3 linked regions of the Saccharomyces cerevisiae S288C genome follow. The gene in region 3 interacts genetically with the main gene of each other region. Each region holds a gene or a part of one and is shown on either strand. Other genes may lie near its edges.

Region 1 (3,046 bases), on a different chromosome or scaffold from region 3:
TAACACTACCACAAGAAGACCGTGAATTGGCTACCTAAGATGAACGTCCTATATTGTATTATTTGTGTATGTATGTATGTGCGTGCCTATGCAATGCTACATGGGCAATAGCCCCACAGAATGCGAGCCTGCCCTTTTTCTTCTGGATCTAATTTTTTTGAACCTTCTTTGGAAAACTCTTATGCAAGCAGAAAAAAGATAAATGCCCATGATCAATAGCAAAATCTCGCTATAATGCCATATGGTCAGCACGACCTTGAACAACCGAGAGTGAGGATTGTTTGAAGTTTTCTGTTCAGCTGACTGTGACCCAGTCTTGATGTTTGGTTGAGCTTTGATCATTTTCCATTTGGTGAACTCATCGGGTTCCCTGTCAAGGACCTCGCCAAATTCCTGCTCCAGGAATAGCTCAGCTTCCTTTGCGTAATCATAGGTGTCCTCAATGGACGCATCCATGTCGTTCCAATGGAATTCGCTAGTGGATACGTCCAGCAGCTCCACTGTCTCCGTTAATTGGCCATTTAATGCGCTACAGCCAATGTATCTTTGCCCCGTGTGCATGTTTTTCGGCAAGTACAGATTTTCGGTTGTTTGAAATAACTCAATCCAGTAGTTTCCCTCTTTTGCGTACTGCACGTCGATCTTCAGGAAGCTTATACTTTCCAAATATATTATTCTTAGTTTCGTGACTCGATTCCACAGGGCATTTTTCTTGAGTTTTATGTGGCCTCTTGAATTAAGCCGCAGCGATGTACTGAGTTCACCATCACTATTTATATCGTACCAATCGCTTTCTGGGGCCACATTTATAAACACATCCATAAAGGGTACCTCCTTATGGTCGTGGCCTTGGTTGCGATACGTATCCAAGACAATAAATAGGCCAGGCAGATTTTTCGGGAAGCCCATCAGATCTGTATTATCGGCTATGACGCCCTGAGAATTCATCATGTATTGCTTTTTCGCATACGACGACTGTAAATTCTGTGTGAGAAACCCATTTTCGGGCGTAATGGCAAAACACATTCCATCACCAGTGAGTTGTGTAGTGGGGTCGTGAGAAATTCTGAAAGTGAAAACAATCTCAAAGTCATTGATGGTGTTGTCGCCAATTCCATTGGACAATACTAATCCATGTTTATCTTGATCACGGTCCTGAGTCAATTTGATCGACTGAATATTCCTAATTTGCGTGGCACCGCCTACATGCCAAAACTGGTTGATCTTGTCCAAAAACGGTATAGATAAACTAGCATCATGGTTGGGCACACGCGTTACATGTGATCTTCCTCTTGTAAAGGGGCTAGTCTCTGTATGGTACTGATCACCATTATTGAGATAAATCTCAGCCACTAATTGGAATATTAGAAACAATGATAAAATCAATAGTGATATGGCTAGTTTCTCTGCCCTTACATCTCTTGACATCGTTACTTAAAGAGAGAGCACACACGTTATAAACTACCCACCGCCAAATTGCTATCCAATGTTAAGGATAGACAAATGCAAAAATATATAAAGGAAACCAAAATCTGCTTATATAAAGCGTAAATCTTACATTTTTCACTGCTTACTCACTCTTATTGTTTTTTTTCTGTTCAACCACGCGATGAGTTTTTTTTTTCCATTATTATTTATAGGACAAAAATGAAAAAATATTAGCTCAGATAAGCACATTTTGTTCATAGCTAAGTGGATAGGGAAACACCTACACTTAATTGCAAGCAACAATGCCTTCGCTAACCCCCAGATGTATCATTGTCAGACACGGTCAAACTGAATGGTCCAAGTCAGGCCAGTATACTGGTTTGACAGATCTACCGTTAACGCCCTACGGTGAGGGCCAAATGTTGAGGACCGGTGAGAGTGTTTTCCGCAATAATCAGTTTTTGAATCCAGACAACATCACTTATATCTTCACCTCTCCACGTTTGCGTGCCAGGCAAACTGTGGATTTGGTTTTGAAACCATTAAGCGACGAGCAAAGAGCTAAGATCCGTGTGGTGGTAGACGACGACTTGCGAGAGTGGGAGTACGGTGACTACGAGGGAATGCTGACTCGAGAAATCATTGAATTGAGAAAGTCACGCGGTTTGGACAAGGAGAGGCCATGGAATATCTGGAGAGATGGGTGTGAGAACGGTGAGACTACTCAGCAAATTGGGTTGAGACTTTCCCGCGCTATTGCCAGAATCCAGAACTTGCACCGCAAGCACCAGAGTGAGGGCAGAGCATCAGACATCATGGTCTTTGCGCACGGACATGCATTGCGTTATTTTGCTGCTATTTGGTTTGGACTGGGTGTGCAAAAGAAGTGTGAGACGATTGAAGAAATTCAAAATGTCAAATCTTATGATGACGACACAGTTCCATATGTGAAATTGGAATCTTACAGACATTTGGTAGACAATCCATGTTTCTTACTGGACGCCGGTGGGATTGGTGTTTTGTCATACGCTCACCACAACATTGACGAACCTGCATTGGAATTAGCAGGTCCATTTGTCTCACCACCAGAGGAGGAATCCCAGCATGGCGATGTGTAAGCAATCATTCGAAATGCAAAAAAAGATATGCAGTTATAGAAAGTGATAAAAACATTTTTTTTCTTGACTTTTTATGTTATATAATATGCTATATATGATAATATCTAGTGGTATCTTAAAAAAGAAAAAATAATGAAATAAAAGGGATAGTACAAAGGACTGTGTTTTTTTGTATTGTGGAAAAACGAACTAATTGAAAAATAAACCATAAAATGAACGGAGTAAAAAAAGTACTAGCAAAAGCTTATTTGCAATATTCAAGGAAAAAAGGCCTAGTAGAAGACAAAGTTAGCAGAACCAGAAGTAACTGAAACAGTACAACCGTCAGAGCCAGAGCCAGAGTAGACACCATTTTCGTAAGAGCAAGCACCATTGACGGTAGAGCCATCGGTGGCAACGATCTTGATGTTAAAGTTTGGTGCTTCTTTGTTGTTTGGGTTTGGAATGATGGACAAGTAAGTGATACCATCAGTGTAACCAGCACCCAAGACAACTGGGGC
Region 2 (3,366 bases), on a different chromosome or scaffold from region 3:
GGAGGATTCAACATCAGCAAACTTACTCTGAAGGTCAATAAGCCTTTCAAGAAGCCCAAGAGGATATTAAGTACTAATGTGGTAAATGAATCAAATAGACCGAGCATAAGGAGCCAAAAGATTCAGGAAGTGACACCACAACTACACGAAACAAACACAAGCACTAAAGTGCAGACAGCCGGAAAAGTTGCGTTGAATAATGATAATATTGCGCAAGGTAATTACGCCACGATTACCGAAGAAGCTAAAGTCAGAGACGGTTCCGACAGAAAGAAAGATATGGCGAACCTATCCAAAAGTGGTAAAAGGAGAGTGGGCGGGATACGAAGAATTGTTCACGAACCCCTCGGAATTTGATTATACGTCAGAATTTTAATGAATATATAAGTCTGTACACTATGCTATGCACATATACTCAAACAAATTCAATACTAAGTACCGAAAAGGAAAGTGGTATATATATATTTATATATATAAGTAGGTACCTCTACTCTTAATGATCACATTTTTTCTTCAACCAGTTTGTACAGTGCTTCAATGTCTGCGGAGAATTTTCTGATACCATCTGATAGTTTTTCTGTAGCCATTTGATCTTCGTTTAAAACATATCTGAAATGAGGCTCGTCGTTGATAAAAGAGACTTTTTCGACGCCTTCTTCCTTAGCACTCTCAGAATTCAATTTGTTTTCAATAGGATCTGTTGATTCATATAACTGTTCTAGAAGGTTCAGTGGGAGAGTCATATTATCAATACCGGCTAACGCCTTCAATTCATCTAAATTCCTGAAAGAAGCCGCCATTACCTCAGTTGCATAACCATGCCTCTTATAGTAACTGTATATCTTCTTAACAGAAAGAACACCGGGATCAGTTTCTGCAGTATAGTCTTTGCCTGAAAGGGCCTTGTAAAAGTCCATAATCCTTCCAACAAATGGGGAGATCAATGTGACATTTGCCTCCGCACAGGCTACTGCTTGCGTAAAGGAAAACAGTAATGTCATATTACAATGAATACCATGCTTTACTTCCAATTCTCTAGCAGCTTGGATACCCTCCCACGTAGAAGCTATCTTGATCAAGACTCTTTCTTTAGGTACTCCCGCATCTTTATATAGTTTGATGATGTGGAGAGCCTTCTTCACCGTCGCCTTCTTATCAAAAGATAACCTTGCGTCTACTTCAGTGGAAACCCTTCCTGGGACTACCTTCAAAATCTGGGTGCCGAATTCCACCAAAATCTTATCCATGGCGTTCTCGATTTTCTCATGATCAGTTTTGCCATGCTTTCTACCATATTCAACGGCAGCGTCGATAAACCTCGCATATTTCTCCAACTTTGAAGCAGCCAATATCAGAGAAGGGTTAGTTGTTGAATCCTGTGGTTCATACTTCGAAATAGCCTCAAAATCACCCGAATCAGCAACCACATGGGTCCCGGCCTTTTTTAATTGTTCTAAAGATGAGGTAGCAACTTTTTGTTTTTTCTCTGAAGGTTCTGACATATTTAATTTCTTGTATATATGTGATTATTTCCTATTTTTTATGACTTACGCTAGCAAGAAATAATGATATACTTAGCATAAATATGACTGCGCTGCAAGATTGCTCTTCTTTTATATGTTGTCCACCCCATTCTAGATGGTTAGAAGGATCCACTATGCTCCCCTCATTCGCCCCTACTATGGAAGAAGAAGAGAAGGACAAAAGACGTATTTCGTTACAAGTCAAGAAGTCCGAGGAGTACAAGAGCCAAAATCAGAGCCAGAGCCAGAGCCAGATCAAGGAAAGTAACCTATAATTCCCCGCGTTAACAGTCCAGTCCCTCTTATTGAAAGCTTCGTCATCCTGAAAATCCTTCAACCCAGACCGACTGTTGAAAAGCCCTTTTGTGTCACAAATCCGTAACCATATTACCCTACTAACATCCGGAAATAATTGCCGCTCACTTTAGGGAAGGTCTCTAAAGGGTAATAATCGAGTTGATGAAAAAGCCGCTACCCCTATTTGAAAAATAATGAATAATGGCTTTCTGGCATGAATAGATTTAATACAATGCTGACCTTGAAAATGTGAAAAAAGAAAAAAATTAATATAAAAAAGAAAAAAAGTAGAAAAAGAAAGCTATCTTTTTTGGTCTATTCAACCAGATAGTGTGCATTTATTATATTGTCCCCCCATATTATTCATCAAGAAAATTACAAAAGAGTAATGCCATTTTTCTTCTTTTTTTTCTTCTTCTTGGCTGTACAGATCTTTTTCCATAAAATGATTGATCTAGCGATTATTGTTTCTTAATATTTTTCCTGTCCTGCAATTGTTCTCGAGGATTGCTATATTTCTCAAAGATATTTTCAGGAAATGTGCGTGCGATGTGAGTTTTTCATTGAGGGTATTTAGAAAAATAACCGCCAACGGTGAGAACATAAAAATCTTAGCTGGAAAAGAACTGCCAAAGATACTATTACCTAGAGGGTTCGTAAATACGGTTTGTGGAACCAGGGCGATGCAACTAAAAAACATATAAATTGGAAATTACGAGACTTTCGGCACAAGAAGCGCTAATATCCTACTTAAGTGGTTGAATTCTTGTATGATTAAAAAAAAAAAAAAAAACACCTGTCTTATTTTCAATTTTATGGTACTGACTTTGAGGGTACGTGAATCATCGAAGGAAACATAATTGCACTGATATGTAAACTTCCTAGTTTCAAATGTTTTCTCGGAATACCAAATAACCTCTAGCCATAAGTTTATTTTCAAACTTTTTCCTCTTAGGTGATAAGGGAGATTAGAAAAAAAGAAATATTTATTATTGAAATAACTGTCCAAAGAAGCAAAGTGAATATAGAAGAAAAAATGCGAGTACTTACGATTTTTTATTTAGCTAAGTAACCAACGTGGTGCCATATTCACGACATAGCAAGTGTCCATAGTTGCATGCGTTTTCTTTAATATCATTGTGTTTTATTTTTATTACTTTAAGAAAAAATACAGTAGCTTTCATGCCTGCACAAATTTAACAAGAGTTTCATGGGGTACATTTTTAATGCCTCAACTATTTGGTATTGTTCAAAATTTTCTTCAAACGCTTGTTAAATCTTGAATCAGCGTTGTTATGCACCATGGCCACATGTCTCTTATAGGCGTCTTTGCGCCTAAACGTTTTCTGACAGATAGGAAATGGGCAATTCAGTCCTGGATATTTTTCTACTTTTAGATTTAATGATTTCTCCATCTCTATATCAAGCTCTCCTATATGTTGGGAAGCACAATGTCTTCTCAGACCAGTTGCTTGTTGGAAACCCAATATTTTCCAGGGACATTGCTCTATGGGACACTTACACGGTCTTTCAAGGTTGAATTCGT
Region 3 (8,544 bases):
AAGAAGTGATATTTAACGAAGAATATTCTGGAATAGTACAATTAGTCGAAGATATTTCTGCGTTTGGAAAACTTTTCACGGATTCAAAGAACAGTGAATGTACAGGAAAGTCTAAAAGCAAGAGAGGCTCCTTTTTGCAGAGAAGTGTCAGAGTACTTAATTCTTCCAGGTTCGTTTACAAGCAGAGTTTATCCGCTAATTTTTCTCTCAAGATAGATTCCATGAAGTTAAAAGTATCAGAAATTATAGGGCCGCAATTTGGTTCTGTGGAAGCATTACTATCAAATAATTTCTTTGCGATTACGGATGACTCTCAAATTGTATATTTTACAAAGAACTTAAAGGTAGAAAGAAAGACACCGTCATTATTAGAGCCACAAGAAATCATGTCAGTAGTTTTGAATAAAGCAGTTAACGAACCTGTACTATATGTTCATAGAAGGGCGAATGGAAAGTTAAAAGTCATTTTTAACAACATTCGCATACATTACTATGCAAGGTGGTTAGAAATACTAAAGAAAAACATCGGCCCGGATAATGCCAGTTCAAAAGATGAACCTGTTTCACAAAAGCTTAGTAAAAAACAACCGACTTCAGGATTTCCCTGGGAACTCAAATGTCTGGACTGCTCTCTAATTCTGCACCCTTTCAGATTAAAAAGTGTAATGGTCATTGTACTTGACAATCTAACAACTGGTGGAAGTTCATTTATTCCGCAGGCAAAGCTTCTTTCAAAGGCGAATACACTCTTCCTAATAGATGACTATCAGAATTTCAAAATTCAAAAAGATAAGAACTGGCCTAGTTTGATAAATTTTTATGCTGGTCAAGGTTTCTCTGCAATCGGTAAAATAGATACTTTGAATTTTTTAATAAACAAATCCGATGGTGCCCTTTTATTGGATTGTAAAATAGAACAAGTTGGTCTTTCATTATGCGCGGATTCTTTTCAAACTTTTTGTCAGCTTTGTATTGATTTAAAATATCCTCAGACGTTTCCTGATGAGGAAAAATTTAGAACGCAGTTGAAAAATCCTATCGATGTATTCAAAGACATCGATTGTGATCTTTTCAATTCTGCCTTCATCCGGGAGAACAATCATCAAAATGATTACGACTCAGTGCATTTGGTAGACAGTTTTCTCGACAAAACTCACGAGTTCAACAATGGTGCCAGAAGTAAACTATCCTCTCAAGGTTCATATGAAATGGACAGTTCCTCTGGAACTGCCACAGGTGGTATTTTACTTCCCCATGAGAGTTATCTAGACTCTGCTCAGCCAAAAGAAGAAGATACTCCACCAATCGCCTCAAAAGAGCAAGAAAGGGATGTGGATATAAGGGGTAGTATAGATGTCGAAAAAGTTGTTATAAAACTATTCGATGGGTATGATTGGAAATATACGCGGAAATTTATCGCTAATACTGTTGAAAAACTGGATAAAGAGCTCAGTAAAGCGGAAGCAAGCAGTTCGAAATCAAATGTACCCCAATCAGAGGCAAATATTTTTGACTCTATTTATATATCTGCTAACAAAAACAATGTCACAGATTTGAGAAGAAATCTTGATGGTGAGATCCAGGGGGTTCAGAATTCCTTCTCTGATGTCTCTAAAGTTAATTTGCGACCTTCTAAGCATTACAAAGCCCTGATTCAATTGAACAAAGTACATGTCAATTTGAAGAATTATCGAGTAGATGAACCCGATGAGTCTAACTCTGATAATTCCACAGATGTTTTGAACCGATGTGTAGTTTCCATTTACGAATTTGAAATTATCGATAATGTTCCCACGTCCACCTGGAATAAATTTGTAACTTTGCTAAAGCACGAACCGTGGCCACACAGTTCTCCGATGTTTCTTCTGGACCTGGAATTTATCCGGCCGATCGACTTTTTGCAAGCAGTGGAATTAGTCATGCAATTAAATGTTGCGCCTTTACGCCTTCACGTGGATCAAGACACTTTAGAGTTTCTAATAAGGTTCTTAGGGTTCAAAGATAAAAGATTTGAATTAATTGATGAGTATCCAGATATTGTATTTATTCAAAAATTTAGCACTAATTCAATTAAGTTAAGATTAGATTATAAGCCGAAAAAAGTTGATTATGCGGGTTTAAGATCGGGCCAAACTTCTGAATTGATGAATTTTTTTACCCTTGATGGATCCAAGATTATTTTGAAAAGCGTAGTCCTGTATGGATTAAATGGATTCGATGAATTAAATAATAAACTGAAAGCCATTTGGACGCCGGATATTACCAAAAAGCAGCTGCCTGGCGTTTTGGAAGGACTGGCTCCTGTCAGATCGTTTATGGCGATTGGGTCAGGGGTGAAGACCCTAGTCACAGTACTAATGTCAGAATACAGGCAAGAAGGGCATTTGGGAAGGAGTCTGAAAAAGGGTGGCAATGTCTTCTTGAAAACGACAACGGGAGATTTTGTGAAATTGGGAGTTAAATTAACTTCAGGGACACAGGCGATATTGGAGAACACCGAGGAACTATTCGGTGGTGTTGGTTCCAATGGCAGGGTGTACGATGCATCGAAATTTGGCTCCGCTGATGGTGCAGACAGTGATACTGCAGCTGTATTAGACTTGGATACTTTATTCGAGGAGGATCAGTTAGTTGGTAGTAAATATTCCAGGATAAGAGATCATGAGCCCACGGCAGTAGTCATCGATATGTCTTCACCGGGAGATCACAACGAACCCACAATAGTGAGTCTGTACGCAGATCAGCCCCTCGACCTGCCCACGGGTTTGAAGGAGGCGTATAGTTCATTAGAAAAGCATATGCATATTGCGTACGATGCGGTATGGAGGGCAAAGGGACAGATGAAGGATGATAAACGGGGAGGGCCGAGCGCCGCAGCAGTTTATGTTGCTAGAGCTGCACCTGTGGCAATTATTCGGCCGTTAATTGGGGCCACTGAGGCAGTGTCTAAGACTTTACAGGGAATAGCTAATCAAGTGGATAAGACGCATAACGAGCAAATCAATGATAAGTACAAGTCCAATCGGACTGATTCGTAAAAATTTTTGCAGACATTTTTGATATATATTCAATTCATATTTTATCTCTTTTTTTTTTTTTTTTTTCAGACGTGGAATGGTGGGAAAGCCAAAATGTCACTGACCGCGGCTAAAAGTTAAAAAATACATGAGACGACATTCTTTTATGTATATATATTTACACATGTATACAAACAAATACACACGCAAGTAGAGAGGAGTTGGTGGGGGGAAGATGCCATTATAGAGGAGAAAAGAACAAAGAGAGTGAGCTTGCAAGATAAAATCACTCGAAAAAAAAAATTTCAGTGACTTAGCCGATAAATGAATGTGCTTGCATTTTTCTAATTATCCTTCGTATCTTCTGGCTTAGTCACGGGCCAAGCGTAAGGGTGCTTTTCGGGCATAACATACTTGTGTTTTTGCATATATTCCTTCAATCCCTTTGGACCTCTTGATCCGTAGGGGTAAATTTCCGGTGTTGGACCGTCCGGACGCTCTATGTGCTTCAGTAATGGGGTGAATATGCCCCAACTGATATCCAATTCGTCATCTCTGACAAAGTTGGAATGGTCACCCAGTAGGGCGTCTCTTATCAACACCTCGTAAGCCTCTGGAATCCAAAAGTCTTGGTACCTGCTTGCGTAAGTTAGATTCAGATCTGTGACTTGGGTAGCATTTGACAGACCAGGGGTCTTAGCATTAAACTTTAGGTACACAGCGGCATCGGGCTGCACTCTGATGACCAGTTCGTTATTTGGAATGTCTTTGAAGACACCCGATGCGACCGCTTTGTACTGCAGTCTGATCTCCACCTTGGACTCATTCAAAGCCTTACCGGCACGCATCATGATGGGGACGCCCTCCCAACGCTCGTTTTCGATGTTGAAAGTCATTGCTGCAAAAGTGACACATTTAGAGTCCTTGTCTACAGTGTCATCATCCACGTAGGCGGGCTTAGACCCGTCCTCAGATTTACCGTACTGGCCCAAGAGGACGTCGTCCGTGTCGATGGGGGCCACGGCCTTTAGAACCTTAACCTTTTCGTCACGAATAGATTCCGGGTCAAAAGACACCGGTCTTTCCATAGTCAAGAGAGTCATGATTTGTAACAGATGGTTCTGCATCACGTCTCTGATTATGCCTATAGAGTCGAAATAGCCGCCACGGCCTTCGGTGCCGAACCTCTCTTTAAACGAAATCTGAACGCTTTGAATGTTGTCTCTATTCCACGAGGCATTCAAAAACTGGTTACCGAACCTCAAGACTAAAAGATTCTTGACCAACTCTTTACCCAAGTAATGGTCAATTCTGTACAACTCTTCTTCTTTAAAGAGGGGCCCCAGGTTTTTTTGCAGCTCCCTGGCAGAGGCCAGGTCGTGGCCGAAAGGTTTCTCTACGATTACACGGGTGATGCCATTCTCTGCGTACACACGACTCTTGATCTGCTTGGCCACCGTCAAAAAAACGCTTGGCGGCAAGGCCAGATAGAAGAGACGGTGTGGGACATCGACGTTGGCACTTTTCTCGAATTTCTCGATCTGCGTTCTTAATTCGTCGAAGCCTTCATCTGTGTCGTAATTTCCCGAAATGTAGCTGACCATCTTGAAGAACTGTTCGACCTTAGAGTCATCGGCTTCACCGTGAGGTTTTTTCAAGTGGGGTAGGACACGGGACTTCAGGTCCTCCTCCATGGACAATTTGGACCGGGCATAACCGAAGATCTTGGTAGATGGATCAAGGTAACCTTCTCTGAAAAGCCCAAATAAGGCGGGAAAAGTCTTCTTCTTTGCCAGATCACCTGACGCACCAAAGACAGATATGACGGTATTTTTTTCGAATTTGACGGGGCCTTCACTCATCTTGCCTTATGTGGTTTTCTATTCTATTGGATTTACTCTTTCTGTCTATACAGCCAATTGGAGAGGGGGAAGGGGGAGAAGGAGGGGTGAGTGGAGAAAAGGGAGAGAGGGGCAGGAGGAAGCCACTTTAGGTGTTATGTGTCGGTATATAGATGAACCCACAGTTTGCTTATATATGGGATAGCCTTGGCGAGTTTTCCGTACATTGAAGAATTCGCCACCCTTAGAAAAGGGGCCACCACACCTTGAGCCAAAAATCCCACATTAATAATATTCCATTTTTTTTTTAGTCATTTTTTTTTTTTTCGTCTCTCTTCCTCCTCCGGCCGAGCCGAAACCGGGCTTTTAGCACCGTTGGAAGCTTGTATCTCCGCGTAAGACCGCCGGAGTATGCATCTTATAGCGGTTTTTCCAGTTCTTTTCCACTATTACGTGGTGCTTCCAGTAGCGCTACTATTATTGTTGTTCTTGCTATTATTTAAATGTCACTATGTACTTGATACACACAGTTTGTGGTGATTTCACGCTTATGTACACGGGTGCAAAACTACACCTTACTTACCAGGTGCTCCCAACAGAGACGAGATCCTTTTCGACGGCCTGCTTGACGGGCGCGAAGACGTACTCTAGCGAAAGCGGGCGGGCTGCCGCCTCTTCTAGCTTGGGTCCCAGGGTTAGAGGATCTACCATTGCTAGCTCCTCTCCGTGACGCTTATTCAGTGTCTGAACCAACTGCTTCCGCTTGAGACTGTTTTGCTCGCCATTGAGTAGGCCACCACCGTTCATGCATGCACCCGGACACGCGTTTACCTCGATGTAGTCCGAGTGGTAGGGATCGGCCGTGGCGGCCGTGGCGGCCGCCATCTCGCGTGAGTTCGCCTTTGGACCTGTTCGTCTCTTCCGCAGAGCGGTGATGTTCCTCTTGCGCTCTGACCCGGAGCCCGAGGTCAGTTTACGCACCAGATTTTGGATGTTTCTAAACCCGGAAAGCTCGCTGGCGGCGGCTATTATGCGATCATCGTGCAGCAATCGGTACTCGACAATGTCGCTGTTTCTACCCTCCAGAACTATCATCTGACTTCCTGGGTGTAGTCGTTGGACAGCCGTTACGTACTGGTAGGCATAGCCACCACAAGTGCCTCCCAGATTCGACGCCCAGTGGACTCGCGGGTCCCATCCCGGCGGTGATAGCCGCCCATATAAACTTGTGTCCTCAGTAAGAAACGACTTGAAGTCTAAATTCAACTCTTGTAACATTGTCACTATTTCACGTGGCGTAATGACACAGTCAATCCCATCGTCAAGCGATTCTGGCCTTGACGCTTCTAGTTTCTTGTCAAAACATGGCATCAGCGACAGATGGTAAAAGGACTCACGCGCGATAGCGAGACTCTCGAACGTAGCTCTGATCAACGAGCCCGTAATTTGCTGAGGCGACTTGACATTGAGCAGCATAGGCACCAACTGCGGTTTGGTCTTTTCCGTGTATATAAGAAATCCCGGACACACAGCAGATAATAGAGGCTTGCGGTCCGCACCGGTATTTTCTTTTTGTTTCTTATGCGCAATGATCTTCTCTACGGTTTTGCTAATCGATATGATTCTGCCCATCTCCGTTCCAACCATATACTTGCACTGGAAATGCTTTTGGAAAAAATTCATCAAACACAAATCGGCCGCCTCCAATGTTAAGCCGTAGTACTGCGCAAGAGATAGTCTGCATTGTGGCGAGACACTCACAACGAGGAATTTGTCTTGCTGCTGCGAAAGCTTCCCCCAGTTTTTCAGGAAAACCGAGTGACTTTGGCTACTCAACAAGATTTCTTCACTAGACGTTATACAACCAGAACACGCGAGGCAGTCTGATAGGGTAATAGAGACCTTCTCCAGTTGGTCTGGTTCCGTGCTCACCTCGTATTCTCCGTTCATGTTAACGTTATCCTTCTTGCCCCCGCTCACCTGGGTAGGTTTGACGCACGCAAGGGCGGGACTGATAAAATCGTTTAGGTCAGACTCGGACAGTAGAGCACTCATGCTTTCTTGTACACTTATCTTGTCACTCAGGAAAAGGAAGCTCCCTCTCTTATCTTTCCAGCTGACAAGACAAGTTTCTTAGTCATCACCATAAAACGCTTTTATCATTTTTTTCTTCATGCGATGAGCAGGGAAAACTGGTAAAAAAAGAAAATAGGAAGTGGAAAAGAAAAAACTAGCGGAAAGGCAGGCAATATGCTTTACAAACAGGCAAATTTTGTCTCTTAATCCTGTGAAGAGGCATCGTATATTCAGTGCTTTTTGAAATTTAGAAAATAGTCGCTTTATTGATTATGCTACATATGTTATTTTGCTTTAGTATGTGTCAAATAGCATGCAATCGCCGGGTAGTGAGTGACACATCCTTTTTTCCCCTCCCACCAGAAAGTCACCTGCTCTCTTAATCAATGGGGTTGCATGTGGTAATCAATTGATAACGCCGGCTGACAAGTCGCCGACGGGCACCCATAAATAAACGATAAATAGCCCTTGCTCTTTTGTTACATGCTTCCTACTTCTGTTTCCCGGTCCTTGTATCTCAAGACGTTTAGAAGCCACCTTTTACGAGCACCACAAATTGTTTTAAAAAGAATGTCCTCTTCCATCGATATCAGTAAGATCAACTCTTGGAACAAAGAGTTTCAATCCGACTTAACCCATCAATTGGCAACCACTGTCCTTAAGAATTATAATGCCGATGATGCACTGTTGAACAAGACTAGACTGCAAAAGCAAGATAACAGGGTTTTCAACACTGTTGTCTCTACTGATTCCACTCCAGTCACCAACCAAAAAAGCTCTGGTAGATGTTGGTTGTTTGCCGCTACCAATCAACTGCGCTTGAATGTTCTTTCTGAATTGAACTTAAAAGAATTCGAACTGTCCCAAGCTTACTTGTTCTTTTACGATAAGTTGGAAAAGGCCAACTATTTCTTGGACCAAATCGTCTCCTCGGCTGATCAAGACATCGACTCACGTCTCGTGCAATACTTGTTAGCAGCTCCAACAGAAGACGGTGGCCAATACAGCATGTTTTTGAACCTAGTCAAGAAGTATGGCCTTATCCCCAAAGATTTATACGGGGATCTACCTTATTCTACTACTGCGTCCAGAAAATGGAATTCTCTGTTGACTACTAAACTGAGAGAATTTGCCGAGACTCTAAGAACAGCTTTGAAAGAGCGTTCTGCCGATGATTCCATAATTGTCACTCTGAGAGAGCAAATGCAAAGAGAAATCTTCAGGTTGATGTCGTTGTTCATGGACATACCTCCAGTGCAACCAAACGAGCAATTCACTTGGGAATACGTTGACAAAGACAAGAAAATCCACACTATCAAATCGACTCCGTTAGAATTTGCCTCCAAATACGCAAAATTGGACCCTTCCACGCCAGTCTCATTGATCAATGATCCAAGACACCCATATGGTAAATTAATTAAGATCGATCGTTTAGGAAACGTCCTTGGCGGAGATGCCGTGATTTACTTAAATGTTGACAATGAAACACTATCTAAATTGGTTGTTAAGAGATTACAAAATAACAAAGCTGTCTTTTTTGGATCTCACACTCCAAAGTTCATGGACAAGAAAACTGGTGTCATGGATATTGAATTGTGGAACTATCCTGC

Evidence for each region.
Region 1: mutations in ZWF1 (region 3) and SHB17 impair growth when combined (synthetic growth defect), as found in Saccharomyces cerevisiae (one study listed by BioGRID).
Region 2: mutations in ZWF1 (region 3) and NQM1 are lethal when combined (synthetic lethality), as found in Saccharomyces cerevisiae (2 studies listed by BioGRID, with this or other methods).

What each region holds. Positions count from the first base shown.
Region 1 is NC_001143.9:520,397-523,442, reverse strand, and holds SHB17 (sedoheptulose-bisphosphatase), read left to right. Parts: upstream 1-1,730; coding exon 1,731-2,546; downstream 2,547-3,046. Other genes in the region: YKR045C (uncharacterized protein), read left to right, coding at 1-25; UIP5 (Uip5p), read right to left, coding at 97-1,428; SUN family protein UTH1, read right to left, coding at 2,819-3,046. UniProt on the Saccharomyces cerevisiae protein: Sedoheptulose 1,7-bisphosphatase involved in riboneogenesis. Dephosphorylates sedoheptulose 1,7-bisphosphate (SBP), which is converted via the non-oxidative pentose phosphate pathway to ribose-5-phosphate.
Region 2 is NC_001139.9:579,935-583,300, forward strand, and holds NQM1 (sedoheptulose-7-phosphate:D-glyceraldehyde-3-phosphate transaldolase NQM1), read right to left. Parts: upstream 1,503-3,366; coding exon 501-1,502; downstream 1-500. Other genes in the region: MTE1 (Mte1p), read left to right, coding at 1-357; RME1 (Rme1p), read right to left, coding at 3,056-3,366. UniProt on the Saccharomyces cerevisiae protein: Transaldolase is important for the balance of metabolites in the pentose-phosphate pathway.
Region 3 is NC_001146.8:193,065-201,608, forward strand, and holds ZWF1 (glucose-6-phosphate dehydrogenase), read right to left. Parts: upstream 4,880-8,544; coding exon 3,362-4,879; downstream 1-3,361. Other genes in the region: ATG2 (Atg2p), read left to right, coding at 1-3,038; iron-sulfur cluster assembly protein NAR1, read right to left, coding at 5,438-6,913; LAP3 (bleomycin hydrolase), read left to right, coding at 7,505-8,544. UniProt on the Saccharomyces cerevisiae protein: Catalyzes the rate-limiting step of the oxidative pentose-phosphate pathway, which represents a route for the dissimilation of carbohydrates besides glycolysis.